Linked DNA regions of Xenopus tropicalis. The protein of the gene in region 1 purifies or fractionates together with the protein of each later gene. This does not show direct contact. Links are inferred from orthologs where the notes say so. Each region holds a gene or a part of one and is shown on either strand. Other genes may lie near its edges.

What was found.
Region 2: the proteins of gan (region 1) and nudcd3 purify together in Homo sapiens (co-immunoprecipitation; 3 studies listed by BioGRID and IntAct, counting the BioPlex papers as one, with this or other methods). This does not show direct contact. The link is inferred for Xenopus tropicalis from reciprocal best matches to the Homo sapiens genes GAN and NUDCD3.

What each region holds. Positions count from the first base shown.
Region 1 is NC_030680.2:52,565,276-52,580,825, reverse strand, and holds part of gan (gigaxonin), read left to right. Parts: intron 1-682; coding exon 683-900; intron 901-2,981; coding exon 2,982-3,103; intron 3,104-7,990; coding exon 7,991-8,103; intron 8,104-11,881; coding exon 11,882-12,031; intron 12,032-13,617; coding exon 13,618-13,754; intron 13,755-13,851; coding exon 13,852-13,983; intron 13,984-15,550. UniProt on the Homo sapiens protein: Probable cytoskeletal component that directly or indirectly plays an important role in neurofilament architecture.
Region 2 is NC_030679.2:126,193,542-126,209,091, forward strand, and holds the end of nudcd3 (nudC domain-containing protein 3), read right to left. Parts: coding exon of another isoform or gene 15,499-15,550; intron 14,896-15,498; coding exon of another isoform or gene 14,887-14,895; coding exon 14,695-14,886; intron 14,611-14,694; coding exon 14,339-14,610; intron 13,320-14,338; coding exon 13,187-13,319; intron 9,867-13,186; coding exon 9,723-9,866; intron 7,780-9,722; coding exon 7,591-7,779; intron 7,119-7,590; coding exon 7,008-7,118; 3' UTR 6,058-7,007; downstream 1-6,057.

The DNA.
Region 1 (15,550 bases):
GACTGATTTGGTTCTGTGTCACATTGACATTAAAAGAATAAGGAAAATGACATACACTTATGCAGTAACCTAAGAACTGCTGATTCTATGATAAGTTGACTTCTGAACAGTTGAGGCGTATTGAATATGCTTCTATAGATGGGTCTTTAGGAAGTATTTGTGGGGAAGGGGAGGGTCTGATAAATCATGTTCATTGTAACATTCACAGGCAAATGTAGCCAGTCTGGCCCCAGGATTCAGGGGAGCCAGGAATTACGGAAAGCCCATTTCCCTTTTCTCTGTAGTAATAAAACAGTACCTTGTAATTGATCCCAACTAAGATATAAATAATCCTGATTGGATGCAAAACAATCCTATTGGGTTTAATTAATGTTTTATTGATTTTATAGTAGACAAGGTATGGAGATCCAAATTACGGAAAGACCCCTTATCCGGAATACCCTTGGTCCCTGAGCATTCTGGTTAACGGGTCCTATACCTGTAATTGCATCTGAAAAGTTGCTTCCTCTTATAACAGAGTGACATTATCTAAAAAATCTGTCATTATTTGTAATATTCACCCGCTAAAGTAAATATTTGTAGCTGTTCGAGATTAATTTATTTAATGCTGCTTGGCAGAGGTTGCATGGCCGGTCCAGTTATATAAAAAAAAAATGTAAAACCATTTCTGTTGTTCACATAGGTTCACATGAAAGATGTAAGCTCTGCTTTATGGGTCTCTGGCCTGGACTCCAGCTATCTGCGAGAGAAAATGCTTATTGAGCCCTTGGTCCGAGAGATGGTCAGAGAGTGCAGCAACATCCCGCTTAGCCAGCCTCAGCATGGAGAGGCAGTGTTGGCTTCCTTTAAACCGAGGGGCTACTCAGAGTGCATAGTTACAGTTGGTGGTGAAGAGCGAACGTGAGTACCTTGAGCAGATAAATTATTTTTAAAAAATGGTCACAGTTTAACATTTTGCATAGTAATTTTATTAAGCATTGATACTTTTGTTCCTGTGTATGGTTCTGTAGCTATAGATTTGCATTATGACTAGTGCAAAATATGAGGAGAGTCCTCGAGCTGAGTAAAGCACTATGACAACACTATCTGGTTCATGTGTACTGATCTGTTCACCAAGTTCATTGGTACCTGACTGTACACATTAGTGTGTTATGGTACACATTGAGCGCTATCAAACTGCAAAGTGTGCACTCTGTGTAAATATAACAACAGGTATAGGCTCCATTATCCAAAAAACCCATATCTCCTATAGACTTCATTATAATCAAATAATTCAAAATTTTAAAATTATTTTTTTTTTCTCTGTAATTATAAATGAGTACCTTGTACTTGATCCTAACTAGAATATAATTAATTAAATATAACTGAAGGCATTGAGTTTATTTAATGTTTAAATAAAACAAAACAAAATGTTTTTTGTCGACTTAAAGTATGGAGATCCAAATTACAGGATGATATCTTATCCAGAAAACACCATCCAGCAATACCTGTGTTCAGAAAAGGAATGCCCTGTGCCTAGGATCACCACCTTATGTATTGTTCTTTGCTGGCCTGCAGGGGTGAGGTGCCAATTGGTGTTATCCTGGAGGTGGGCTGCTGATGTCATGGGCATCTGCAAATACGGGGAATGGGGATACTTGCTCTTTCTGGAGTTTGTACTTCACAGGCGGCTCCATCTGTGGCAAAATTGCGTGAAAAAGTTTTTACATGCCCCACCAATTAATTTTTTCTCTTCTGCACTGGGGCTCTGCCCTCCCAGGGGAGAGACAATGCAATCCAGTCAAAGGATGAGGAGGTAACAGCTACCAGCAGCCCAACAATCCACAGTTGACCTGGTGCGTAACCTGTGACACATATGTCACCACCAGGTCCGGAGCAATGTCAGGAGAAATGCATGTGGCAGCTGAGGAAAGTTTTTATTTAGAAATTGAACATTTTTACAACAATACAAAAGAAAAGAGAAAGGAAAGAAAACATAGGTGGCTAAGGCAAGCTTGGTGTGAATTTTAGGATTGTGCATTTAACCATAGATCCCATGCTGCGTTAAACTTAGTTGGAGATCCTCTAGATATATATATATAACCAATTTTTGCTTGGGTAGCAGATCGTTAATAAGTTTCTTCCAGAAAGTGAGAGTAGGAGCTGCAGTAGACTTCCATTTTATCAGAATAGCTTTTTTGACATAGAATAGGAGTTGCAAATAACACAAACGTTGATATGATGATAGCCCCAGGTCTTCCAGCACCCCCAACAAGCATACCTTTGGAGAGAGAATATTTTGAAGGTACAATGTTTCATTTGCATGTTGTAAAACTGCGGACCGTAACTGTTGAATGACCGGACATTCACAAAAAAATACAGGAAGGTGCCCACAGCAGAATTACATTTGGGACATGTGTCAGAAGCTTGAGGATACAACTTTGCCAATCTGTTGGAGGTTAAACAGGCACAATTAATAAACTTAGTTTGAATTAATCTGTCTCTGAGTGCCATTGTTATTTCTGGGAATTTTTCTAGTGCGTCATCCCACATAATCTTGTCAAGGTCCGGCACATCTCTTTGTCGTTTCTCTTTGGCCTTAGCTAATGGGTCTGGGGTCGATTGCCATAACAGGGTATAGTACCATGATATGGCCTTTCTTAGGTTTGGCCTATGTAGGTGTTTTTCTAGAGAATAATCTTCTACTTGAGGGATTGGAAGGTTTAAAAACAGAATTTAACAACAAATTACTTCAGAGAGCAGAGGAAAGGAACAGCAATTACAAATTTACCAGCAACTACACTGACATGAAGTGTAAAATAATATTGCACTTTTGATTTAATGCATAGTTTCAAGGAATCTTGATTGTGGTTGACGGTTGAGCCTCCAGGTGATGGTACAGGGGGGATAATGGTTGGGAAAGTTTCTTTCAGGCTCTGTGTTTAGTATTTGTTTGTATAAATAATTAGCAAGTTGATTGATTTTATTTATTTTATTTCCAGATCCCGTAAACCACTGGCTTCAGTGCGCTGTATGTGCCCTCTTTATGATCCAAATCGGCAGCTATGGATTGAACTAGCACCACTAAGCACACCAAGGATAAACCATGGGGTTCTTTCTGCAGGTATGCTGTGATCTTAAAAAATGTGCAGCAAACTAAACTCATTTAAAGCAACTGAAAGGGTTATTGTATGTATTTTGTAATCATTCAGTTTTAAATACATTTGTTAGTGTTTGCAACAGTACAGGTGCATAGCCCTTGTTTTGCCACCTTACGTTGGTGGAGTGGAGACGTGAAAACTTATTTCATTCAGCCTTGAAATTCACAATTGCAGATAACAGGCAGGCTCCATTTTGTGGACACTGTTATTAAGACAAGCTGTGCACCCTGCCAAAATCTTGTTTCTGTGCCAGTATGGGGGGACCTGATACCCATGTCCATGCACTGGTTACACAATTCGATGGTGAAGAGGGAGAGGGAATGTGAGAAGTGCAGTGACATCTAAGGAGTTCTGAGTTGAAAGTGAAAGTAACTCTCTGCCCCACCCCTATGCCTAAGGCATAGAGGCGGGTCAGGCAATATATGATTGACAGCTGGGACTTTTAAATGCTTATGTAATGTATATAGATGTGTTAATAAAAAAATGACTTTGGGTTACATGTTTAATTTGAAAAGGGCTTTTATTATACAGCTTTTTATGTCTGGGTGACCGCTCCACTTTAACAGCGAGCGTCGCGTATGATGCACGCATGCGCACTGTACCATTAAGGGACCTACGCGCTCTTTTAATGCCGCTAAGTTCCGAAGCGATGGGAAGTGCATCAAGCCGCAGTGCCCCACAATGGCACACATTCACTGACAAAGGCACATGGGGCACACATTCACTAAAAAGGGCACATGGGGCGCACATTCACTAAAAAGGGCACATAAAAAGACCACTAAAAAAGTATAAAAAAAAACTTTTAGGAATAGCATGGACAATAATGAAATGGTAAATCATCCTTGGCCAAATCATTATGAACTACCAGACTAAAGATGTATTGTTTTGGGCATATTGATTCTGGCAAACCAGGAAGTTCGAGATGAAGTCGCTGCAATAGTTGGGGAAATGGGAACAACTCTAGATAGATATGTAACGAAGGTAAACTGGTTGCTTTCTAATCTGTTATCCTCTGGACATGCTAATGTAACGTTGCAAGCATTGTTTTATTTTATGAGTATGCAAACTGCTACCATCATTCCTTAAGGGCAGATCTTTAGAAATAAAAAACCTCCAATGGTGCACTGTGCCTACTTAGGATATTAAAAATTTAATTGTAAATACTTGTAATGTAATTATTTTTGGTAAAGGCGATTCACTAATGATGGGAGAGCACACAGTGCACAGAACCAATGGGACGAGCACAAAGCACACAGCAGGATGGCAAGTACAGGTATCGGATCCCTTATCCGGAAACCCGTTATCCAGAAAGCTCCGAATTACGGAAAGCCCGTCTCCCATAGACTCCATTTAAATCAAATAATTCAGAATTTTAAAATTGATTTTCTTTTTCTCTGTAGTAATAAAACAGTACCATGTAATTGATCCCAACTAAGATATAAATAATCCTTATTGGATGCAAAACAATTATTTTGGGGTTAATTAATATTTTGTTGATTTTTAGCAGACTTATGGTATGGAGATCCAAATTATGGAAAGACCCCTTATCCGGAATACCCTTGGTCCCGTACATTCTGGATAATGGGTCCTATACCTGTACTTGATAATTAGTATGGCAGCTTCCTTAGCCTTCCCAAACTTGCTTTTGTCTGCTGCTGTAGCATTTTTCTTTCTCTAAAGTTATCTATTATTTATTTATCTGTTATTTGATTATTGAAACTTAGCAGTAGCAGTTGCATTTCCCACCCTAGGCTTATACTCGGGTCAATACGTTTTTCCAGTTTTCTTAGGTAAAATTAGGTACCTTGGCTTATATTCGGATCGGCTTATACTCGAGTATATACGGTAACTCCATGCTGCTCTCATGCTAACAAATTACTATCATTTACTTCTAGAGCATCCTGTAAGTGAATCTACTATATTGTAACTAGAAATCTGAGATGGCATCTCCTGGACTCTTCAGGAGGAGCACCCATTCATATTAAAGATGAAATATCTAAATATAACTCTAAGAGCTATTATCTGGATACTTAGGACTTGCCTTAAGGCTTTTTTTAAAATACATTTTAATATTGAAACCCAGAATGGTTTGTCATTTTGTATGGATTTATGCTAGCTTAATTATCATTAAGTACAAGTTGTTAATTAGGGGTTCTCTGAACTGGCCCTCCCCTCCCCAAGTGCAGCAAAAATTGTTACTTGTCATTTAAATTCTGATGACAATTAACTGCTTTTTGGTGGCCTATTATGGTGGCCACCAACTTTGGTGCACAAGGCTACATTTTATTATTATTATTAACATTTATTTATAAAGCGCCAACATATTCCACAGCGATGTACAATAAGTGGGTTTCATACATTGGACATACAGAGTAACATATAAAGCAAACAATAACCGATACAAGAGGTGCAGAGAGCCCTGACCAAAAGAGCTTACAATCTACAAGGAGAAAGGGTTGAGACACAAGGTGTGGGAATGGGCATGACCAGAGTTGTGACAGGTGTGGCACAGGGTATTGCTTTTAGCAGCACGCTGAGGTTATGTTAAACTAGATTAGGGTAAGCTTCTCTAAATAAATGCGTTTTTAGAGATCTCTTGAAGGCAGAGTGATTGGGGGAAAGTCTGACAGTTTGTGGGAGTGAATTCCAGAGAAGGGGGGCAGCCCTTGCAAAGTCTTGAATGTGAGCATGTGAGGAGAGAATGAGAGAGGAGTTGAGGAGCAGGTCAGTAGAGGAGTGTAACAAGCGGGTTGGATGGTACCTAGAGATGAGTTCAGAGATGTAGGGTGGGGTAGAGTTATGAACTGCTTTGAATGTGAGAGTCATTAGTTTGAATTTTATCCTGGATGGTAGGGGAACCCAGTGCAGAGATTGGCAGAGTGGCATGGCAGAGGAGGAGCGGTTGGAGAGGTGTATGAGCCTGGCAGCAGTATTCCTTATGGACTGGAGAGGGGACAGTCTTTGGAGGGGGAGACCAATTAATAGGGAGTTACAGTAGTCCAGGCGAGATATGGTGAGAGAGTGAAGTCACCTAGTACAATGGATGGGGAATCAGAGGAAAGGAAGTAAGAAAGCCAGGCAGAAAAGTTGTCAAAGAATTGCGAGGTTGGTCCAGGAGGTGGCATATGACCGCAATGCGAAGCGAACCAGGGGAGAAGAGCCTAATAGAGTGAACCACAAATGAGGAAAATGAAAGAGAAGGAGGAAGTGGAAGGACTTTAAATGAATAGTGGGGGGAGAGAAGGAGTCCTACCCCACCCCCTACCCTGTTTCCAGGTCTGGGAGTGTGCGTAAGGTGTAGCCCCCAAAGGACAGAGCAGCAGGTGAGGCAGTGTCAGTAGAGGAAAGCTAGGTCTCAGGTATTTCAAATAAGTTAAGCCAGTGCTGTCCAACTGGTGGCCTGCGACCCCCCTCTGTGTGGCCCCCCACCTGTTTGGCTGCTTTGATGGCTTACCTTTGTGTAAGCTTTAAATGGTATCAGTACTGAGATTATTTACCCCCCTGCATTGTTCTCCCCTCAGATTTAGGCTGTAAACCCCCTGTATTGTTTAAAAATGTAATCCCCTGTGTTGTTCACACCTTTTAATCCCTGAATTGTTCATCCCCTTGCAGTGTTCACACCTCAGGCACACCTCACCTGTTCACACCTCAGACATTGTATGTACTGCCTGGCCTATGCTGTCTGGCACACACAGGTAGAGTAGGCAGAGTATGGCACACACTGGCAGGGTAGGGCAGGCAGAGTATGGCACACACAGGCAGCATAGGGCAGGCAGAGTACTGCCTGTGTGTGTGCCATAGTTTATTAGCAGTTGGACATAGCCAATAAATGGTCCCTAAGGTGTGTAATTATGTGCTGGGGGTTACTGTGCTATACACAGGGGAGGAGGAGGCATATTGATTTAAGGGTATGTCTTAATATGACATAATAAAATTCTTTCACAAATGAATGATGGTTGATATCCCTGCAGTGAGGACCATTTGGGTTTTTGCTGCACTACCACCATTGTGATAAAATGGGTGTGGTTTGAAGTAGGCGTGGTTTAAAGGGGAGTGGTCAAAACTGGCTTCTATTAGCGGCCTTCCACCATGTATGCTAGAGAAATTCTGGCCCTCGGCACCGCAGAAGTTGGACAGCACTGAGTTAAGCGATTTAGTGATGAAAAGGTCATGGATGGAGGTGATTTTGTTGCAGACGGAGCGGGAATTCCAGAGGGCACAGGAAATTTGAACAGAGGCTTTGGGTATAGGGGTAAGGTTTCTGTACTTTAAAGGGGTACAAGGTGGGTTTGGGGAACGTGGCCCTAACAAAACAGGGATAGGGTAAGGGCCAGGGTTGGGGGAAATGTCACCGGCAGCAAGTAACAGGAGAGAGAGGAATGCAAGGTGAGAGTGGGATTTGTATATTCTTGTTTTATGTGAGGAGAAAGAGTTAACTGGAGTTATGGAGCAAAGCACTTTAAAGACTTCATGTGCTGAGAGGGAAGGAGAGGAGAGTAGAGAGGCAGTGATTTCTATACCTTTCTGACTTGATGGAGGAAGTGGCTGGAGATGTTTTAAGAAACATGAAAGTGCGAAGAAGAGGAAAGCAGGATAAAACATTTTGGGGTAGGAAATAATAAACTACCAGGAACAAGCAAAGTTGTTTTCTTGTGATTCCACATTTTTAAGATTGTTATGGGGAGCAGGGCCATCTTTTTTGCTGTGCATTGTTTACTGGGAGTTCTGTTTTACAGGGGGTGCCTTTTTTTTGGCACTGCTAGTGAAATAGGCTTTAGATGTCCTTTAATACTTCTGTATTTGGAACTGCATAGTAATTCACATCCCACATATTTTTCTTCATTTTGCAGAGGGATTTTTGTTTGTACTTGGAGGTCAAAATGAAGACAACGAAACCCTGGACACTGGAGAACAGTATGATCCTGATGACAATGCTTGGAGTCCACTACCTCCAATGCTTGAGGTAATGGCAAGGCATTGTTATCTTCTGTATGATGGGTAGCCTCACAGATTCTCTCCTGCTACATCTTGGGCTATTTGGCAGAATCAGCTGTAGGTCCAAAAGTAGACATTCCTTTTCTAAATAAGCAGCAAGTTGCCATAAACAGTACTTGCCTGTGTGTTTGACATTGTTTGTGACACCTTGGATTGTCTTTGCATTAATAAAGAAACTTTCCAGCCTAAATTAATATCAAATTGTCAGTGGTTATAAAGTTAATTGTAATTGCAGTTGAAAGCAGTATTTGTTTATACATTTTATTCAGCAGAAGCCAGCCAAGGAGGACTGCTACATTACATTACATTACATTACTACATACCTTATACTTTTATAATGCTACTGCTTTGGCACTATGGCCTTCCTTTGCATCAGCACTGAATGCTGAGATGAATCATGAAAATGATTCTAACTTGCTGCCAGCATATCCATAACAATGCATTTTTTATTCTCTTAAACCTTACATTTAACAGCTCTAATTGATATTTGTTGCAGTGCTTTAAATGTATTTACTGTTATCTTTTTCATTAAATAAGTTTTCTAACAGTACTATATATTTTGGAAAATAATGGAAACCAATGATATTTAGGAATGATTTATGATAAGATATTCTTTTCGTTAAAAGTTGCTACTTTGGGAAATGGGACACGATAGTTAGGAATGCTTTGTAGGAAGTTTGCAGGGCTTTGTAGCTCCGTGGGTGGGGGACAAAATACTTTTAATTGCCCCTTATCCACTTATTTGGAAATCACTTGAATGAACCTGGTGCAGTGTTATGAAAGCAATTATGACTTATTATTTAAGAAGCTATAATCAACTGAATAAACTGCACCAGGCAATTTCCATTCAAAGTAAATGTGATGGGGGTAATATCAACTATTTTGTCCCACACAAAGTACTGGAGTCACAAAACACTTCAAATCCTCTCAAGCCCTTAAGGTCGGCCATACACGCAGCGATTTATGATCTTGACCACTGGTTACACGAAAGATCGTTCCCATCCTCCACAGACGTTTAGGGCTGAATCGTCAGATATGGGGGTAGAAACAATAGGAATTCTACCTCCTTCTGCTGATTCAGCCCTGACCGTAGATTTTGCTTGGGCGCCATCAAAATCTTTTAACCTGGCTGATCGACGAGTCGACTGATAACCGCAGCTTTTTGTGATATCGGTCGCCTCGTCGAGCCGCCATACACGCAGCGAATATCGTACAAACAAGGTTTAGCCTTGCATTTGTCTTTTCTAAATTGAAATTGTTGCAGGCAAATGTGTGTATCTGTTTCAATTCTCTTCCCTAGATCACAAGAAAGAATAGGACACCATTTGTGCTGGGATACCTTCCCTTGCCTTGGGCTTCTTTTATAGAGCTGTGACTAAGGCAGGCAGAATAGGGTGTGTACACCCTGACACTGGCTGCTCAGTCTGGTTTTTCATCTGCTTCCCAAGCATAATAAATGAAGCAGACCAACCAGCACCACAAGCCTATTGTAACTTCTTCAGATCAGAGACTTTTGCTGTGGGTTGGACTGAAAACATTTTTCAGTGTCCTACAGAGAAATACTGCGGCATTGTTTTAGAGTATTCAAACTTTTCATTTATTTTATGTCATTTAGGTTAATTCAGAAACTTGCTTAGTATACCCCAAAAAGCTTTTATCAGGGATCAGTGTCCCTGCAGTCAGCTGTCAGTATGCCCTCTGTGACTGATCAAGCAATGCAGTCAATCTAGTCAACTTCCAGTACAGACCTGTGGCTAACAGTGGAGATGCTGGCTAATTATTCTTACAGAAACAAGCATGTTTTTCGGATTCTCAGCTGTTCTGGCTCGAGGCAAGCCAAAAACAAGGAAGCAATGATATACAGTGAGGAACATAAGTATTTGAACACCCAGCGATTTTGCAAGTTCTCCCACTTAGAAAACATGGAGGGGTATTGCACTGCTGCACATAAGCATTTGAACACCTGGCAATCGGCAAGAATTCTGTCTCTCAAAGACCTGTTACTCTGCCTTTAAAAAGTCCATCTCTGCTCCACTCATTAATCTAAATTAGTAGCACCTGTCTGAGCTCTTTAAAGACTGTCCACACCACAGTCAGTCAGACTCCAACTACTACCATGGGCAAGACCAAAGAGCTGTCAAAAGACACCAGAGACAAAATTGTGGACCTCCACAAGGCTGGAAAGGGCTACGGGGCAATTGCCAAGCAGCTTGGTGAAAATAGATCAACCGTTGGAGAAATTAGAAAATGGATGAGGCTAAAGACGACTGTCAGTCTCCCTAGGACTGGGGCTCCATGCAAGATCTCACCTCGTGGGTTATCACTGATGATAAGAAAGGTGAGGAATCAGCCCAGAACTACAAGGGAGGAGCAGGTCAATGACAGTTTCAAAGCTCAGTAGAACACTACGCTGTCATAGTTTTAAATCATACATTGCACGGAAGGTTCCCCTGCTCAAGTCATCACCAGACCAGATGGTCTGAAGTTTGCCAATGACCATCTAGATGATCCAGAGGAGGCATGGGAGAAAGTCATGTGGTCAGATGAGACCAAAGCAGAACGTTTTGGTCTAAACTTGAAACTCACCGTGTTTGGAGGAAAAATAAGGATGAGTTGCATCCCAAGAACACTATCCCTACTGTGAAGCATGGGGGTGGTAACATCATGCTTTGCGAAGGGGACAGGACAACTGCACTGTATTAAGGAGAGGATGAATGGGGCCATGTATTGTGAGATTCTGAGCAACAACCTCCTTCCCTCAGTCAGAGTATTGAAGATGGGTCGTGGCTGGGTCTTCCAACATGACAATGACCCGAAGCACACAGCCAGAATAACAAAGGGGTGGCTCTGTAAGAGGCATATCAAGGTTCTGGAGTGGCCGAGCCAGTCTCCAGACCTAAATCCAATAGAAAATCATTGGAGGGAGCTGAAACTCTGTGTTCCTCAGCGACAGCCCCGAAACCTGACAGATCTAGAGGAGATCTGTGTGGAGGAGTGGGCCAAAATCCCTGTTGCAGTGTGTGCAAACCTGGTCAAGAACTACAGGAAACGTTTGACCTCTGTAATTGCAAACAAAGGCTTCTGTACCAAATATTAACACTGATTTTTTCAGGTGTTCAAATACTTATGTGCAGCAGTGTAATGCAAATACATTCTTCTTTCTAGATACGGAAACCATATAGCTCTACCCAAAAAAGTATGCATTATAATATTGATTATGATGTGATTTACTGTGAAATGCTATTTCTATGATACTAAAAACTGAACACCTTTCCCCCCTCCTTTTTTCCTTCTGTATCCCCCTCCCCATATCAAAAAGTTATAAATAAAGATTAAAAAAAAATAAAAATACAAATACATTCTTTAAAAATCATACAATGTGATTTCCTGAATTTTTTTTTTTAAATGCTGTCTCTCACAGTGGGAATGCACCTACAATGTGAATTTCAGACCCCTCCATGATTTCTATGTGGGAGAACTTGCAAAATCGCAGGCTGTTCAAATACTTATGTTCCTCACTGTATATTTCAACACTACCAAAAGACACACTTACTTGCCTTAATATTTTTTTTCCTTTGTCAGTGCCATAAAATAGTTTGGTCTAGTACATGGAAATTCTTTAGGCTATAGCTAGCTGACCTTTTCCAGTGTTTTATCCAACATGCCCTAAGTAATTTTACAATACAGGGACACATGCTGCAGCATCAAGTATATAAATATTGAATGTAGGTTATTGTGTGCTTTAGGCTAGGCATAGTTTCGGCATGGTGGAGATAGATGGAGTGATCTACGTACTTGGAGGAGAAAATGGGGACTCCGAACTACTCTCTATGGAATCATATGACACATGCACAAAAACATGGAGCAAACAGCAAAACATGACTATGGTTAGGAAGGTAAGGCCCCTGATATTGTTTATTGTTAAATATGAAAAGCTTAGCTAAATGATTATGCATGCACTACCTTCCATACGCTTAGAGGGCTTATTTATGCACCTAAGTGCGTGGTTCACATTCAAATAACAGTAAAATTAAATCTCGTCTACTGCGGTAGACAAATCTCCCTGAAATGCTTTCCACCAGCAGTATAGGGAATTGCTGGTGGGAAAGCACATGCAGCACTTTGTTTTCTGAAGTGGCCCAAATTCTCCTGCGAAATGAAGCCACTACCATATGCCCGCTACCCTTTGACACACAGCCGCTTATTTAAATAAACTATAGTAGTCTTTCTAAAGCAAGCACACAGCTTTTACTAGTGTAGAGCAACAGTACATAAACTCTAGTTCTCCTTTAAAGTAATTACAATATTAACTAAAGAATTATGCTAGCAATGATGTACATAATGTTTTGGGCTTCTGTCCCAGCCCAAGCCAACCACAGCCCTTTAGCAGTGAAAAATGTTGCCTCTAAGTTCCACCCAGAAGCTCCTCATCTTTTTTCTGCTGATTTACTGTACATAATCTGTGCTGCCGTCAGTTATAAACTTATGGGCCAACGCACAATATTAATTGATTAAACCGTGTAGTTTTGGAATTTATTAAGTGTAAAAACCATGAATTTTTGGACTTTATTCAGTGTACAACCAAGAAAAACTCTTACCCAATTAGTTTCATTTGTGCTTTTTATATTTGTTTTTTTAATAAATGCTTTCAAAAAGTAAGTTTAATTGTGGTAGAAACAAACGTGAAAATTAAAGATACGAATTTTATGAAATTTGCTCCTAGGTTTTTTTTTATTTAATAATATTTTTCAGTCCAGTGACACAAGTTGCATAAGTGAGGAATGGCCTGATTTGCATTATTGGTAAAAACTCATAATTGGCCTCCTCTTCCACCCTGCATGTGTTTGCATTTATAGGAGAGTAATCTACTCATCCCTATACCTATATATAGCAAAATCTGGCTCATGTGTAGTGACAGGCAGATTCCCCTTCAATGGCACACATATGGGCAGAAGGGGGTCAGATCTGTGTTTCCATTGGCAGTGTGCCATTAGCCTTATAAATTAACTAAAATATTTTTTGTTAATATTTTGTGGGGAATTGTAAACACTAAGGAACCTGTCTTTCTGCTTGTTCATGGGAGGGTTTTTTTTTTTTTAATTAATTCTCTTGGCCACACAACATTGTTATTAGAAGTGTTCTAGAAAAAAAAATAATTATAAAATAGATCCACATGACAAAAACAGATGTTTCATCATTTGTTATTTTTATTAATTGTTTGACTTTCCCAGACTGCTTTGTCCCAATTTCTGCCAGAACAGGTATCTAAAGTCTGCACTCTGTGTGGCATGAACTGATTTTAAGGCCCCTGGAAATTATGCATGGTATTAGATAATATGTCTTGACTTTAGTCATTTTGTAACTTCAAAAGTGATTAGCTCTTGCCCCCTTTCTCCACCTTTATTGTAGCTCAAACAAATCCATATTTTATTTGTAGCTAGCACTCTTGTTGACTTTCCTGGGCTTAATGGATTAATTACAGATCGGCTGCTATGCAGCAATGAAAAAGAAAATCTATGCAATGGGAGGTGGCTCCTATGGAAAACTGTTTGAATCTGTTGAATGCTATGACCCCAAAACTCAGCAGTGGACTGCAATATGCCCCTTGAAAGAAAGGAGGTGAGTATTTTTGTTATTTAAAGATAATCTGCCATTAATGAGCAATGGTTTGTATTTGTTGGCAGTGTCATATTCCTATAACCTTTCTGCTTCGTAGGTTTGGAGCTGTTGCGTGTGGTGTTGGCATGGAGCTGTACGTCTTTGGTGGGGTTAGGAGTCGGGACAATGATAATCAGAACAGTGACATGGTGGCTTGCAAATCTGAATTCTATCATGATGACTTTAAACGGTAATTTTTTTCTTTGTGTTTGTACAGGGTTCATAAATGTTTTAGTAGCCAGGAATATATCCGACTGCTGGAACACAGTAAAAAGCAATACAAGGCCTACTTGGCCTGTCCTGTATGAGGTTTCCTTATTCTTGCATGGGTTAACTTCCACACTCCAAAAACATACAGTCAGGTTACCTGGCTCCTGATAATACAAACTTCATATGCATGAATGCAATAGGTCCTTTTTCATATATATGAACTGACTCATTATAATGGCAAATAACTTGTTTTTTTTTTTGTCAGGCCAGCATTTATTACAAGGCGTATACTATATTGCATTTTATCTTTAACATATAAATGTGTTGGTTTTTATTGTACATTGAACTTTAAACTCCATGGTGAATGTTAATCTCTCTATTTAAAGAACAGATTTCCTGCTGATTACAAGTTCTGCAGTGCAAAGTTGCTTTATAGCCAGGCTGTTAATGTAACTTATTACTGTATGCATTAGAATAATGTAAACTCACTGCTGTGGTAATGTTTCTATTGTGTTTTGCATACTTTATTGGAGTTTCAGAAGCATACTTTATTGGAGTTTCAAAAGCTATTTGGTTGCTAAGATCCACATTACCTTAGCAACCAGGGTGTGGTTTGAATGTTTCTATTGTGCTTTGCATACTTTATTGGAGTTTCAGAAGCATACTTTATTGGAGTTTCAGAAGCTATTTGGTTGCTAGGATCCAAATTACCTTAGCAACCAGGGTGTGGTTTGAATGAAAGACTGATAATATGAATAGGAGTGGACCTGAATAGAAAAATAAGTAATATAAAGTAATAAGTAATAATAACATTGAAACTGTAGCTTCACAGAGCAATAGTTTTTGGCTCAGGGGTCAGTGACCTCCATTTGAAAGCTTTAGAGAGTTAGAAGAAAAAAAGCAAATAATTAAAAAACTATGAAATATAAATAATGAAGACTATGTAAAAAGTTGCTTAGAATTGGCCTTTCTATAACACACTAAAAGTTAACTTAAATAGGAACCACCCTTTAAGTAGTAGTGCTCTCTTTACCTCCTGCATGAGTTATTTGTAATTTTTTAATTTAATCTGTATGTTAGTTTATACACCTATTTATTGTACAGTGTTGTGAAATATGTTGGAGCTTTATAAATACAGTTATAATAATGTTTTAATGTCAAGTTTTTTAATTTTATTTCTTGAAATGCAATATAATGATGTATTATATTCAGATTATGTAATTTGATCTGCAAAAATATGTTTTTTTAGTAGGCTTGATGAATCTGGCTCTTATTATCACTATATTTATAAAGCATCATGTTTGTTTTATCAGTTCCTGCCCCCTTGGATCTTACAGTATAAGGTCCCAATTACATTCCCATAATGCAGTCACGGATTCCAGGACTGCAGTACTAAAAAATTGTCACTGTTATGCATATTTGTTACAAAAAAAAAAGTTATATATAAGAACTCAGTTTTTAATGTTATATTCTTCTTGCTGGAAACTGTCATACATGTAAGTTGATTTTCTTTCCTAGAGTTGATATGAGCTGGTATGTTATTGCCA
Region 2 (15,550 bases), on another chromosome or scaffold:
TGGTTGTCATGACAACAACTAGACAGATTTGTAATACTGTGGCTCTCGTACACCCCCTCATACCTCTCCCTCCCCCACACAGACTGTAGCCCCCCTATCCACAAAGTCACTAGCTGCCTACCCGGAGCTGGCAGGAAGAGGCACTGGGAAGCTGCGCTCAATATAATGACACTGGGTACCTCTCAGGTACATGCACTGAGCTGATACATTCATCATGACACTGGGTATTTTTAGTAACCAGTAATGAGCAGGATGCTGTGTATAACAATACTGAGTACCTATGCTGCAGATTAGGAACATACGACACTAGGGCATAGTAGTTCTGCACAATGATAAATATCCAGGCTGTAACATGGTGCAGTGCTGCCGTATACATGTATAAAGCACATGGGAGTTGGTGCAAAGTTGCTGGTTCCTTCGGTATAGAAAATAAACATACTAGCATGTATCTGTGTGTGCCCAGTGCTCACTGTCTCTTATCCCTGGTACTGAGGTAAATTGGAAAAATACCCTGGGAAAGGGAATACAGCACTATAGGCAATGTTGGAGAACACTTTGCACTGGATACCATTCTCAGCATCTATACACAGCGAATCAACCTGCTATATTAGAGCTACACGGTCAGCTTTTTCTGAGTTGAAAGTTTTCTATTACCAAACAACTACCTTATGTTTCCATGGACTCACCTAGGTAATAGTCTGCCAACACAACTGCTACATCTCTGCATTTTCCTGTCAATGACTCCTTCAGGTTATATTCTAACCTTATGGCACACCTAAATAGTTACACAAGGTTGAAAAAAGACCAAAGTCCATCAAGTTAAACCCTTTCAAGTGAACCCAGCACCCACACAAACCTATACTGACCTATCTATCCACTCACTTCCAGACCCATACTGACCTATCTATCCACTCACATACAGACCCATACTGACCTATCTATCCACTCACATACAGACTCACACTGACCTATTTATCCACTCACATACAGACCCATACTGACCTATCTATCCACTCACATACAGACCCACACTGACCTATCTATCCACTCACATACAGACTCACACTGACCTATCTATCCACTCACATACAGACCCATACTGACCTATCTATCCACTCACATACAGACCCATACTGACCTATCTATCCACTCACATACAGACCCATACTGACCTATCTATCCACTCACATACAGACCCATACTGACCTATCTATCCACTCACATACAGACCCATACTGACCTATCTATCCACTCACATACAGACCCATACTGACCTATCTATCCACTCACATACAGACCCATACTGACCTATCTATCCACTCACATACAGACCCATACTGACCTATCTATCCACTCACATACAGACCCACACTGACCTATCTATCCGCTCACATACAGACCCACACTGACCTATCTATCCACTCACACACAAACCCATACTGACCTATCTATCCACTCACATACAGACCCATACTGACCTATCTATCCACTCACATACAGACCCATACTGACCTATCTATCCACTCACATACAGACCCATACTGACCTATCTATATACTCACATACAGACCCATACTGACCTATCTATCCACTCACATACAGACCCATACTGACCTATCTATATACTCACATACAGACCCATACTGACCTATCTATACACTCACATACAGACCCATACTGACCTATCTATACATTCACATACAGACCCACACTGACCTATCTATACATTCACATACAGACCCATACTGACCTATCTATCCACTCACACACAGACCCATACTGACCTATCTATCCACTCACATACAGACCCATACTGACCTATCTATCCACTCACATACAGACCCATACTGACCTATCTATCCACTCACATACAGACCCATACTGACCTATCTATCCACTCACATACAGACCCATACTGACCTATCTATCCACTCACATACAGACCCACACTGACCTATCTATCCACTCACATACAGACCCACACTGACCTATCTATCCACTCACATACAGACCCATACTGACCTATCTATATACTCACATACAGACCCATACTGACCTATCTATCCACTCACATACAGACCCACACTGACCTATCCACTCACATACATAAACCATATATACCAACATCAATACTAACTGTAGATTTTAGTATCACAATAGCTTTGGATACTATGCTTGTTCCCGAACTCCTCTTAATGGGATACTGTCATGTTTTTGTTTTTTTTTATGGTATACTTTTTATTATTTCTACCAAAGTGCATAACTTTGTGCTTGTCAACATTGAACCTCATTTTCCATTTTGCTGCCCAGTTTTGTCAAATCCCTTTGCAAAGTGGCAGCATCCTGCATGGAACGTATAGTTTTGCACAATTTAGTGTTGTCAGCAAAACTAGAAACAGTACTGTCTATGCCCACCTCCAGGTCATTAATAAACAAGTTAAACAGCAAAGGACCAAGGACATCTGGCGATTTATGTCCTGCAATAGGGAAAAACTGCAGCTGTCATAACACTCTTTATGCCTTATTGTTCTATTCAGATCAATAGGGAATATGCTGCCTATGGCAGGAAACAGATCGGGAGCAGTCGGTTCAGTGCTGGGCACCATGGTGGTCACATCTGCTCTAAAAGTGGCCATATACGGGCAGAATGAAAGGAATTGTTCACCTTTAAATGAACTTAGTATGATGTAGAGAGTGCTATTCAGCAACACTTTGCAATTGGCCTTTTTTATTATTTGTGGTTTTTCAATTATTTAGCTTTTTGTTCAGCAGCTCTCCCGTCTGGAATTTTGGAAGCTCTCTGGTTGCTAGGGTCCAATTTAACTTAGGAACCAGGCAGTGGTTTGAATGAGAGACTGGAAAATGAAGGGAGGAAGACCTGAATAGAAATATAAGTAATAAAAATAACAATACAATTGTAGCTTCACAGAGTAATACTTTTTGACCCCCCATTTGAAAGCTGAAGAAGAGTCAGAAGAGAAAGGAAAATAATTCAAAAACAATGAAAAATAAAAAATAATGGCCAATTGAAAAGTTGTTAAGGATAGCCTATTCTATAACTAAAATGTAACTCGTTGGTGAACCACCTTTTAGGGCTCTGGCACACGGGGAGATTAGCCTGAGACTAATCTCCCCGAAATGCCATCCCACTGGCGAAAATGTAAACTTCCGCGATTTACATTTTCGCCGGTGGGATGGCATTTCGGGGAGATTAGTCGCCCGCGAACAGGGAGATTTGTCGCAACTAATCTCCCCGTGTGCTAGAGCCCTTAAGCTGCCGATTTGGCCCTTCAGACCAAGCTTATCTGTCTATGTATGGGCCCCTCTGAGGGGGGTTTTCTTTGTTATTAGATTTTACTGTGTGTGGGTTTCTGTACAGAGATCAATTATATAGCAACGAATGCATTGTTTTCAGCATTTTCTGCCGTCCCAATGGGTACACAGCCGTAGCAATCAATGGTCCCTATTTTATCTCTTTTCAGGAGCTGCAACCTCTGCAACCAAACATTGTTGCTTCTCAGTTTCCTTAGAAAAAGCAGCTGACATTTGTAATTGGTCCCAAACCAGACTTGTAAAGACTATTTCACTGGTGGTGCCAAAATGTTAGGTTCTTTCCTAAAAGAAGCACCAGCCTGGAGGAAAAATTTGCGCTATATTTCACTAGGGGGTGCCTAATATTTTGGCACCCCCCGTGAAGTAGACTTTACATGTCCTATAATGTATTGAAAGTAGGTTATTCCCCAGACCCTGCACCCCTTAGGGCTCTGGCACACGGGGAGATTAGTCGCCCGCAAAATCGCGGAGGTTTCCTCTCAGGGCAACTAGCGTATACCATCCCACCGGCGATTTACATTCTCGCCGGTGGGATGGCATTTTGGGGAGATTTGTCGCGGGCGACTAATCTCCCTGTGTGCCAGAGCCCTTAGATTGTAAGAACCACTTGGCAGGAACTCTTGGGGATGAGTAACAATATAGCTGGCCATACACATGCCTGTTACACTGTATGAAGTGATTTTCAGCAAGGGTATGCTGGGCAATGTTTCCAACAGAAACAAAGATGGTGCTATGGCAGATAAGAAAAACTTCTTCACGTTGGACTAAACCAGTGTTTTTCAACCTTTTTTGGGCAAAGGCACACTTGTTTCATGAAAAAAATCATGAGGCACACCACCATTAGAAAATGTTAAAAAATTTAACTCTGTGCCCAGCAGCAGTGCCCCCCTAGTACATTGGTGCCAAGAGCAGTGCCCCCCTAGTACATTGGTGCCCAGCAGCAGTGCCCCCTAGTACATTGGTGCCCAGCAGCAGTGCCCCCCTAGTACATTGGTGCCCAGCAGCAGTGCCCCCCTAGTACATTGGTGCCCAGCAGCAGTGCCCCCCTAGTACATTGGTGCCCAGCAGCAGTGCCCCCTTAGTACATTGGTGCCAAGAGCAGTGCCCCCCTAGTACATTGGTGCCCAGCAGCAGTGCCCACCTAGTACATTGGTGCCAAGAGCAGTGCCCCCCTAGTACATTGGTGCCAAGAGCAGTGCCCCCCTAGTACATTGGTGCCAAGAGCAGTGCCCCCCTAGTACATTGGTGCCAAGAGCAGTGCCCCCCTAGTACATTGGTGCCCTGCCTACGGCACACCAGGCAACATCTCGCGGCACACTGGTTGAAAAACGCTGGACTAAACCAATGATCCCAAAGCAGTGGCTAGTGAGCAACATGCTGCTCTCCAACCCCTTGGATGTTTCACCCCGTGGCCTCAAAGCAGGTGCTTATTTTTGAATTCTTGGCTTGGTGGCAGGTTTTGGTTGCATATAGGGGCTATCAAATAGCCAATAACGACCCTTATTTGGCACCCCCAGGAACATTTTTCATGCTTGTGTTGCTCCCCAAGTCTTTTTACATTTGAATGTGGCTCACAAGTAAAAAAGATTGGGGATTCTTTAACTAAACAAAGGGAAGGAAAGACAGGTGACCAGTCGTACATGCTCCCTCATACAGTATCCAGCCATTTGACACTAAACAAGTAACATTTTTTCAGGTGTAAGTGGGATGAGCAATGTTATCCTTTGCTAAACAGGCATAGCCAGCCTGAATAGTGTCCTGTCCTTAGTCTGCTTTGTAGGGTCTTAGAATGCTGTGATTTATTATGGAGCATATTCTCCCATGTTAAATGGCTATAGGCTATAGGACACGGTTAGTTTGTGCTTCAGACATGACCAGCTTGCCCTTGCTACTCACTGCACAATACAGGATAGTACAGATTTCTATGTATGGGTGCTGGGCTGTATATATTCATAGCCATTACTTTACACTACTCACAGACATATTCCTGGCAGTTTTAAGGTTCATTTATTATCACTGTTTACATGCAAAGAAAAAAAAACAGATGCACCCCTGGCCTTAACCAGCAGCTGAATTGGCCAATAAAATCACTCACTCATAAGCTGTATGCCAGTGGCCTGCAGGACTTGGCACAGTACTGCGGCATTCCTAACTGGCAGCATTGCATGGCAGTTTGGCGCTAGTATACCCCAGTTTTACCAACTTGCATTTCTGAGTGTTATCATCATCCCCTCCAATTTTACTAAAATTTTGAAGGCTAGGAGGTCCTTTGCACAAATAATCCAGAGCTGAAATCCATCTACCATAGACCTGCAGCAGGCTGCCATCTTGGAAATGTATATTATGCTAATACGCTAGCCCAAAGGCATCCTGGGAGTCACAAGAAGCTGAGGAAAAATTCACTATACAAGAATGTGACCCAATAGGGCTCATTTATGAACAAACATAGGTACTGGGCTGCACAAGTACAGTTGCCAATAGCAACCAATAAGAAATGAGTTTGAACAGGTCTTCTACAAGTTAAAAAAAAGGAAAGCAACAATCTTATGGGTTGCCATGGGTATTTACGTTGGTGCAGTTTAGCAGCTATTTTTGTAAATCAGCCCACACTTGCACTAAGGAACCAAGAAGTGGGATTATCTATAAAATGAAACCGTTCACCATTTGTGCTGTTTAAAACAAATAACATTTTTTTTCTTTTTCTAATTAAAACAATAGGCAGAATACATTTCCAACGCAATTCTTATTTATTGACCCAAACTAAACAAAACTGTGGCTTTCCCCTTTAAATACATGTAAACACAATTTTAAACAATATGGTTCATATACTATGTTTATGGATACAATCTTACCCATAGAGAAAGCTTCAAACGATTTATAAATATGTTGTTTTATTCATGTCATGTGGGACGGACATCTGTAAACTGCTTTATGAGATCATTTTTGATCCAGTGCGCTCCCCATCTACCTGCTAAATATTACAATTAAAGGGGACATACACCCATCCATAAAACAATGTCAAATTCTGCTTCTGAGCATTTTTTTTTCATTTACATGAACTTTTTTATGTTAGTAGTTTGCACACTGCAAATATCATTATGTGTAAAGGGGTCACCCTCTACTGTTCTGCTCAGTTCTATTACTTAGTGTGACAGAAGCTACAGAACTGTGCAGAGAAGCATCAGGAAATACTTCTCGCTTCAGAAAAACAAGCTTTTTTGCTATTCTGTCTGCCCAGCACCCAGAGAGCACAGTAAAGGATGCTCCTGTTACACATTCATGATATAAGCAGTATAAAAACTGTGAAATAAACAGAAAAATTAAACAGATGGATATATGTCTCCTCTAAGGGAATAAAAGTTTAGCAAGTTTCATGCTAAGTGACATTACCAGTAGAAGAGGATGTAACCCCTGGAGCCAATGCATGGTATGGTTTGTTATGATTAATACAGATTGACCATATCCCTCCTCATACAGAGCAAATCATTTGCATGTGTAACTGCAAATGTGTAAATGTCGAGTTCACACAGAAATTCATCCAGTCTCAGCAAGCACCAAAGTCAAATGTTTACCAAAAGACATAAAACTTGGTTAATAAAAGGCATCGTATCCCAGCTGTGAATCAGCAAACTGAAGCCAGGGCACCGAGGATTTCCAGTGTGTGTCCATTGAGCTCAGAACTGAACAGCCCCTGGCGAGACGTTGAACATGCTTGGATCAAAATTCTGACCTTTGAATGGTGATCCCTCTGCATCCCATCCTTTCTTTAGCATTTCATGCACTTTCTGTCAGAAACAAACAGGAGGAGATACAATGTCAACAGGTATAGGCAAAATCTGTGTGCCGGCGGGACACCAGGAAAAACCCGGTGGGCCCCAGGGTTGGGGGTGGGCACGCCAGGAGGGAGGCCCTGATGACTGCAAAGGGGTGCCCTTCAAGTTGCAGCCTTGGTGGGCCACCACTGCCCCAGTTTGATGTGTGACTGTGTGCTTAGGAAGAGAGACTTATGGCCATCATTTCCAATGCACTAAAGCACAGAAACCAAATGAGTTGTTTGTGGCCACATCCAAACGTTAAAGAAATAGCTGTGATTAGGTCAACCTATATATTTAACTTCCTATCAGTTTGAGGAATCAGGTTTGTCTGTGTGGAAACGGAGTCTAGTGAACTTTAGAAATGTACAGTAACATGTGAATCAGTGTATGAACAGAAGGAGGGAAATGTGTGGATCATGATACTTTTGTTTTTAGGGCTTACCAACTCATGGCTTTGAGGCTTCCCCTGCAACTTCTGGTGATAATCAAATGTTAGTCGGTCCAAAACAGCATGTTCCTCATCATCCACAGTAGCCATGCTGCGTTCTTTGTTGATCTTGTCTATGTCAATCTTTTCTTCATCTTCCAATACGGCATTCCACCAAACCTCGCCACACTTACTCAAGCTGATCTGTGGAGAGTTCCCACTACACTTTAAATACAATGTACTAACAAAGTTTCATCACGTTCTGAATGATACATGGAGGGGTTGCAGCACTTTTGTTAATTGGCAGCCTAGAGAATTAAGGTTCATGAGCAACATCACCTATGTGTTTGTATATTTTCCCGTGTATGTATGGGTTTCCCCTGGGTAGTTTTCTCCACACTCCAAACAGGCAGGTTAATGGCTCCTGGTAAAACTGCCCATAGTGTGTGAATATGATAGGGATCTAATACTGTAAGTTCCACTGGGGCAGGGACTCATGTGAAGGATGTAACAGCCCTGCTCAATTTGTTGGCGCTTTATTAAGAATAATGATAATAGGTTTGTTGCAAACTTGCATATGGATTATTAATGAACAAAAAGGGGAAGAATGCAGGACTGATGAGACAATTTTGGACCCTGAAGCAGAACTGTTAGCTGCATACCAACATCCTGCGTTTTATAGTCCCATTTAGGAAAGCAATGGGTGAAATGTGGAGGCAAGTATTACAATGCACAAAGGGAAAAAGAGAGACGTAGAGCCCCTGAAGAAGTCTTGAAGGCATAATGGAGAAAGGTTGTAAAAGAAGCAGATCATGGGATGAACATAAACTCATGAAGTGGTGATTTACTGGAATGTAAAGAATTTGGGTAGGCATTGGGTTTATTTAGATATAATTCTAGAAGGACTCTTGAGGCACTGTCAGGGGAGGAGGAACAACTAGCAAGATGAATAAGCTTTGCAGCAGGATTTATTGTAGACAGTAAAGCAGACAGCCTGCAGAGTGAAAAACCAGACAGCAGGGGACTGCAGCAAATCAAGATGTGTCATGATAAGGGAGTGAATGAAAATTTGGTGGAATCTACCATATGACTACACACAAACTACATTGGAAGGATGAAAGATGCAAGAGAAGTTTCTGAAAATGAAATATGGGGAGCACGGAAATGCTATACAATGTTTATTCAGAGAGCTTAGGAGCTCAATGGACACTCATAGAATTAAAAATATCTAATATCTTAGCCATAAAGCAAGACAGGGATAAGGCGTTTAGGGGAACTTTGAGTCAATGCAAATAAACTTGAATAAACACCCGTGAATCAGAAATAGGATACAAGTTGAATATATACAAATTGAATACTACATAAACCAGAGAAGTAGTTATTAATACAGTATGGAAGGAATACAGATGCAAACTTGTATCATTATTAATAACAAAATCCATGAGATCAAATATGTTTCCAAAAGAAAACTAGCAGGGAGAGTAAAATTTAATGGCAGAACCATAAAGCACCCAAATGCCAGATGTACCAAGAATAGGAAACTTTAAATATGCAATAAGAGAGAAAACAAACGCTTTAGTGTATTTATAATGTATAAGTTCATTTTTCTTTAAAAACTGCTATACACCCACCTATAACCACAAAGTTTAGAGGAGTGGGTAGTAACCAAGGAGCTGGCCAGCAACTTGTTCTTATTAAGTGGTGAGATGAATGGAAGGAGTATGGCCAAGCTGACTATTGATCTAAGTGTAGAAATTATTTAGGAGTTCTATTGGGAGTATGGTCCTGCTAAGTCTCAATAAGCTGATAATAACTGAAGATTAAACCACAGGTTGTGGGTCTCTCAGACATGGCCCATGTGATCTATATGCAGGGTGCATGGTGGGACCATGCTGATGGCAGTAACAGAGGGCTTATTCTGTATAACAAAATTAATTACTGTCACCTAGCAAGGCACCCACCTCTACAACTGACCTAAAAAAATGGCAAGTGAGTGGCATGGAAGAACACATGGGAACGTGAATAATTCAGCTCATGATTGACACCAGTCTCAAAGGAAATAAAAGATCCTGATTATTCATAGTGATTATATATGCCTTAACAAGCTGCACACAAGTCAGATTCAGTATCTTATTAAAGAGTCTTACCACAATACACTTTCCAGGTTCCAGACTCCAGAGAGAGGTCTCTGCATTTATTTTGTGAGTAAAGCTTCCCTCCACCAGAACACGTTCCCCTCCTCCTTCTCTCACCGCCACACGAATACAGCTACTGCGCAGGTCCACTGACACCTGAGGAAGAGGGTGCAGACAAGGGAGTCATACGCCCATTAGAATCAAAGGTGCTCTGTCCTTTACTCAATACAGCAACAGTAGCACAGGTATCACAGAAGATACCGAATGGGGGCCATTTTGGAAAAGGTAATTTTGTGCAATGCAAGTCAGCAGCTAAGCACAGTGATACTGTGCAATGAGTTAGTAAACAATAATATGCAGCTTGTTCCCAACCTGATTCCATAAGCAGAGCTCCTTCTTAATCCCCATGATATCTGTGGTTGGATAGGACATCCTATTATTATCTATGTACAGTTTATAAGCTCATTGTTGGGGGCTGTAATATGAGATAATAATGTGAACCCAGGTTTTATTTGGTCAAAGTTCCATGCTAAAGCAAATGTATTGCCCACTCACAGTCACTTGTTTTAACTCTGTTAACTGGCCATAATTAAATTGAAAATGAACACGGCTGTATATTCTCTTTTCAATATACAGCCATTAATAGTGTTCTGTGGTTTTAAAGAAACAGTAATGCAAAAAAATTAAAGTGTATCAAAGTAATTCAAATATAATGTACTGTTGCCCTGTGTTTGCCCCTACCCTACTATAGTTTATGTAAATATAGCTGCTGTGTAGCCACAGGAATAGCCATTCAAACTGAAATAGGGCTAAATGGCACAGGTCATTTAGCAGATAACAGATAAGCTCTGTAAAACACCATTATATTTTACAGAGCTTATCTGTTATCTGCTATGTAACCTGTGCCTTTTCTCCTTTTTCCAGCTTGGCTGGCCCTATGGCTACACATCAGCTTATTTATATATACTATAGTATTGTTTCTCAAGCCAACACACTAGGTTTACCAGTGCAGGGCAAAAGTACATTACATTTTAAACACAATTTTTGGTGTTACAATTCATTTAAATTAATATGCAAAGATAACAGAACCTCCATAGAAAGGGATAAAACCCACTGTTCTTAATATCAATTATAGTTACAAGTAACTTTAAAAATACAAATTTATGTTTGGATGTTGCTTGGCATTATAATTTTTTCATTATGCAAACACAGAAAAAAACCCCCAAAAATAATGTTTGCCTAATAATAACAATAATAACAATAATAATAATAATAATTCTAAGCAATGTTCCAATATACATTCATTACAAATTTGTAATGGGAGCATCATGGTGTAAGGATGTTTTTTAGCATATGGTACTGGCAGACTTCATATAATTCTATAATTATAGAATCTGCTGCCATCCACCAGGATGATGAAGATGAAACGAGGCTGGACATTTCAGCAAGACAATGATCCCAAACACACAGCCAAGGAAACTCTCAGTTGGTTTCAGAGAAAGAAAATAAAGCTGCTAGAATTACCCAGTCAATCAACCAACTTGAATCCAACTGAAAATCTATGGAAGGAACTGAAGATCAGAGTTCATAGAAGAGGCCCCTGGAACCTTCAAGATTTGAACACAGTTTGTGTGGCAGAATGGGCCAAAGTCCCACCTGAACAATACACGCCACTAGTTTCTCCTACAGGAGGCGCCTTAATCCGTCATTCCCAACAAAGGCTTTTCTACTAAGTATTAAATACATTTCAGTGTTCAGCGTGTTTAATACTTATTCCCTGTGTCATTTCACTTTACTACACATAATGTATGGACTTATTTGTTTTGATTTCTTTGTACATGTGGATTACTTTGGTTGTTACAGACATCTGGTGTAAATTTCATGTCAATAGCCCCATTAGAAATATATTTACTAAGAAAAACATGTTCAATACTTATTTTCCCTGCTATACAAGCAGCACTATATAAATAAATATAAATATGCATACAAACATATCTCCCCAGGGTTCTCTGTCCCTACCACAACTATTGTCATGACATTCATGACAAATTGTGAGGTTATTTATGTATGTTGGTATTTATGTTACACGTAAGTACACTGTGACGGATGTGAACACATCTACATTGCAGATAGGTGTATCTTCATACGTGAGATAGTTCCTATTTTTCTATTTACTAAAATGCCTTTCTTTTTATTAAAAGTTTTCTTAAAATATCAATATGTATTTTTAAAATAGTTTTCATGGGTATCGATATCCTTTGTAACCTCTTAAATATTCTCCCATTTAAATGGAAAGTTCATCTTAAAAATAATTTTGACTTTAATGAAGTCAGTGATATCCTAAGACAGTTTTTTTTTATTAGTTGCTGAAGTATTGCCTTTGCATTGAGCTTGCCCTGTTTTTTGCCACTAATCCATTTGATGGCAGGAGGTCGTCCCTAGCTTTAGCATCGGGAACAGGTCACATATGATCCTAAGGACAGAGGCAGGCATGAGTGGCGTGTCTGGGTTCCACCAGGGGGCCACCGCTACATTAAGAGCCCCACACCCCAGCAGCAGAGGTCTCTCGAAGGGGCCCATAAGGTTCTGTCCCAGTATCCTGCTGGCCCAATATGATCCTGCCCAGCGAAGTTCTCTATCACACCACCTGGGGCTGCCCAGAATAGTAGCATGAAATACACAAGGATAAAAACACACAGACCTACTAGTAGCAGCTACTTTTTCATGGCTACTTAACTCCAGAAAATACCATGCCATAGACAATACTGAGAAGTGCCTCTGCTAAAACACACATAGAGACAATTACCAGTAAATGATCAGCACTGTCTATTTTAGCAGCCGTGACAAGTAGCTGCTACTAGTAGCTCGGTGTGTCTTCACCCTAACGCTGTAGCAGCATCTGTATACTTTCTCTCACTTGTACTACCACCCATACTGGGAAATAAATTGGCATTACAGCTGCACAGTTTAGTCTTATTGTTTACAAATGACAGATTCCAGTCTTTCACATGGGAAAATGATATAATCATATAACACATTACTGTCTGATAAAAGACTGTACAGGTATGGAATCTATTATCCAGCAGGATGTTTGGGAAGGTTTTGGTAATCGTTTTTCAGATTTTTCTGTATAATGGATTTCATACCTGGTATATGTTTTTAATATTTACTGTGATAAACTATATGCCAGACATGCAGAATTACACAGTTACACACTGCGGCATACCACTCTATTTACTTCCCTCCCCAAAGCAGTTTCTAGATCCTTCAATGTATTGATCTCTGTCACCCTCTGCTGGGAAAATGGCTCTATAAGGCAAACACCTTGCCAGTTAGCATCATAACCATACATTGCCTTACACTGCCCCCTTTAGGACACAAGTCTTTGGGACTTGTCTCTTCTCAGTTTTCTGTAATAAAACTACATCTGCCCGCCTGTATATCACAAGTTACTCAATAAATATGGTGTTGCTTACCTGCCGACCTTTTATTACAGATTTAGGCACTGGAACTTTAATTTCCACATCTGTGTAATCCTGAGACCAAACATAATTCTTTCTTATGGCTCCATTGTAACTGTCAGGGTCAGCTTGGTAGTCTTCTTGTTCCCTGAATGGATGCAAATATACATATACTTATATATAAGAGTTGGGGTTTAATCATTTCCAAAAACCAAATGATCTAACATAGAAAAAAAATTGCAATAACTCAAAGAGGATAAGGGAGTTCTCAAGCTATAAACATTAAAGGAACAGTAACACCAAAAAATTCAAGTGTATAAAAGAAATTCCAATATAATGTACTGCTGCCCTGCGATGGTACAACTGGTGTGTTTGCCTCTGAAACACTACTATGGTTTATATAAAGAATGCAGCTGTGTAGCCATGGGGGAAGCTGTTCAAAAGAGAAAAGGCACAGGCAGATAACAGATAAAACACTATTGTATTCTACAGAGCTTATCCGTTATCTGCTATGTAACCTGTGCCCTTTCTCCTTTTTTCCAGCTTGAATGGCTGCCCCCGGGCCTACACCAGCTTATTATATATAGCCTATAGTAGAGTTACTGTAGCAAACACACAACTTTTACCAGTGCAGGGCAACAGTACATTATATTTCATTTACTTTAAAACTCTTTAATTTTTTGCTGTTACTGTTCCTTTAATGAAGAAGAGGGCAACGATGGAGAGTAGGAACGGGCAAAATACAAGCCTACAGAAGTTAATGATGATCAAAGGGATGTAGTAGTTCAACAATCTCTGGTAGGCTTCAGGGAGACCATCTATGCTGTGCAGACAGATCCAGATGATAAAAAAAAAAGAAGAAGAGGAATGACTATGAAAAGGGAAAAATGAGAATGAATCAAAGATGTATGGAAAAGCAAGTAAAATGGATAAGATTCAGGGATACTGAAAAAGAGTACAAACAATGGAGGAACGCAAACAGCAAGTAAAATAGAACAGCAATATAGCAATACCCTTGCTTCCAGCTGTTTCAGGACTACAACTAAAATCATCTTTTGGGGATGATGGGAGTTTAGTTATCCAGCATCTAGTCTGCAGAGGGCTGGACATTTCATTGTTTATAAAGACACCACCAAACAAACATTTCCAGGGAAGAAATATTTTTACTTGGGCTCAGCAGCTGCTTGTCCTGCGCAGTCTTCACTGGTTTCTCGTCCTTCTGCTCTTCCTTTTGTATCTATTTGTTGTGGCTCTTCTTCTGCTTTGTCTTGTTCCAGTGTTGCCTCCTCTGCAGGAGTCTCAATGATGACTTCCTGGACTGGGGGTGGTGCAGCCTCAGTGTCTGCCTCCTTCTCTTCCTTCTTTTTCAGTTTCTCCTGCAGGTCACACACCCTCTGCTCATGGTCCTTCAGTGCCAGCCTCTCAAAGGTTTTAAAAGTCTGGGAGGGAGCATATGAGATTCACTGCCAGCACAAGGCCCACAAGGCCCCAACCCAGCAATGTAAATACTACAAGATACTTACCTGCATTACCATGGCCTGAGCAGCTCCTGGGGGGAATCCAAGGCGATCCTGAGGGTTGAGGAGGAGCCTGTAGAAGTCCGTCTTGCGATACAAGAAGCCAAAATAGATATTTAAAAAGTCCTGGATGTTCCCTACATGCTGCAAAATTCCCAGCAGAGCATGGTCATAGCGGTCTGAAAGCTCCGGCTCCATAACTGCAGCCTGAAAGGAAAACACAATGTACTTCCTTGCAGCGAGAGCACGCAAAAGCAGGGAAATATATATATATATATATATACACATATAAAAATAAAAAGTGTCGGCACTCACAGGGTTTCCACGAAAAGTCCTTATAGACAACACGTCATAGTTAGATGCAATAAGGTGAGGTTTATTGGTCCAACGTTTCGGTAATAAACCTCACCTTATTGCATCTAACTATGACATGTTGTCTATAAGGACTTTTCGTGGAAACCCTGTGAGTGCCGACACTTTTTATTTTTATTCAAAATTTACTGCTCTGGCACCCAGGTATCGCACTTAAATGGTGGCGTGCTCTTCACTCTGCAATTTATATATATATATATATATATATATATATATATATATCAAGTTTGTAGAAAGCACTCACGGCATCAAAATATAAAGAAAAAATTTATCTTGTTTATTTGATCATTGCGCATCAACGCGTTTCGATCCTCATAGGATCGTCATCAGGATGATATATTTTCATATGTATAGTTGCTTTTCCAAAATTGTATGTGCAGTATTCTGAATGTCTATAACGTGGCAGTAAAAGACATAGTACATATAAAAGGACTATACCTGACTGAGAGTTGGGCTCTGGAATGGCAGTGAAAGGGAAGGTGATAGGTTA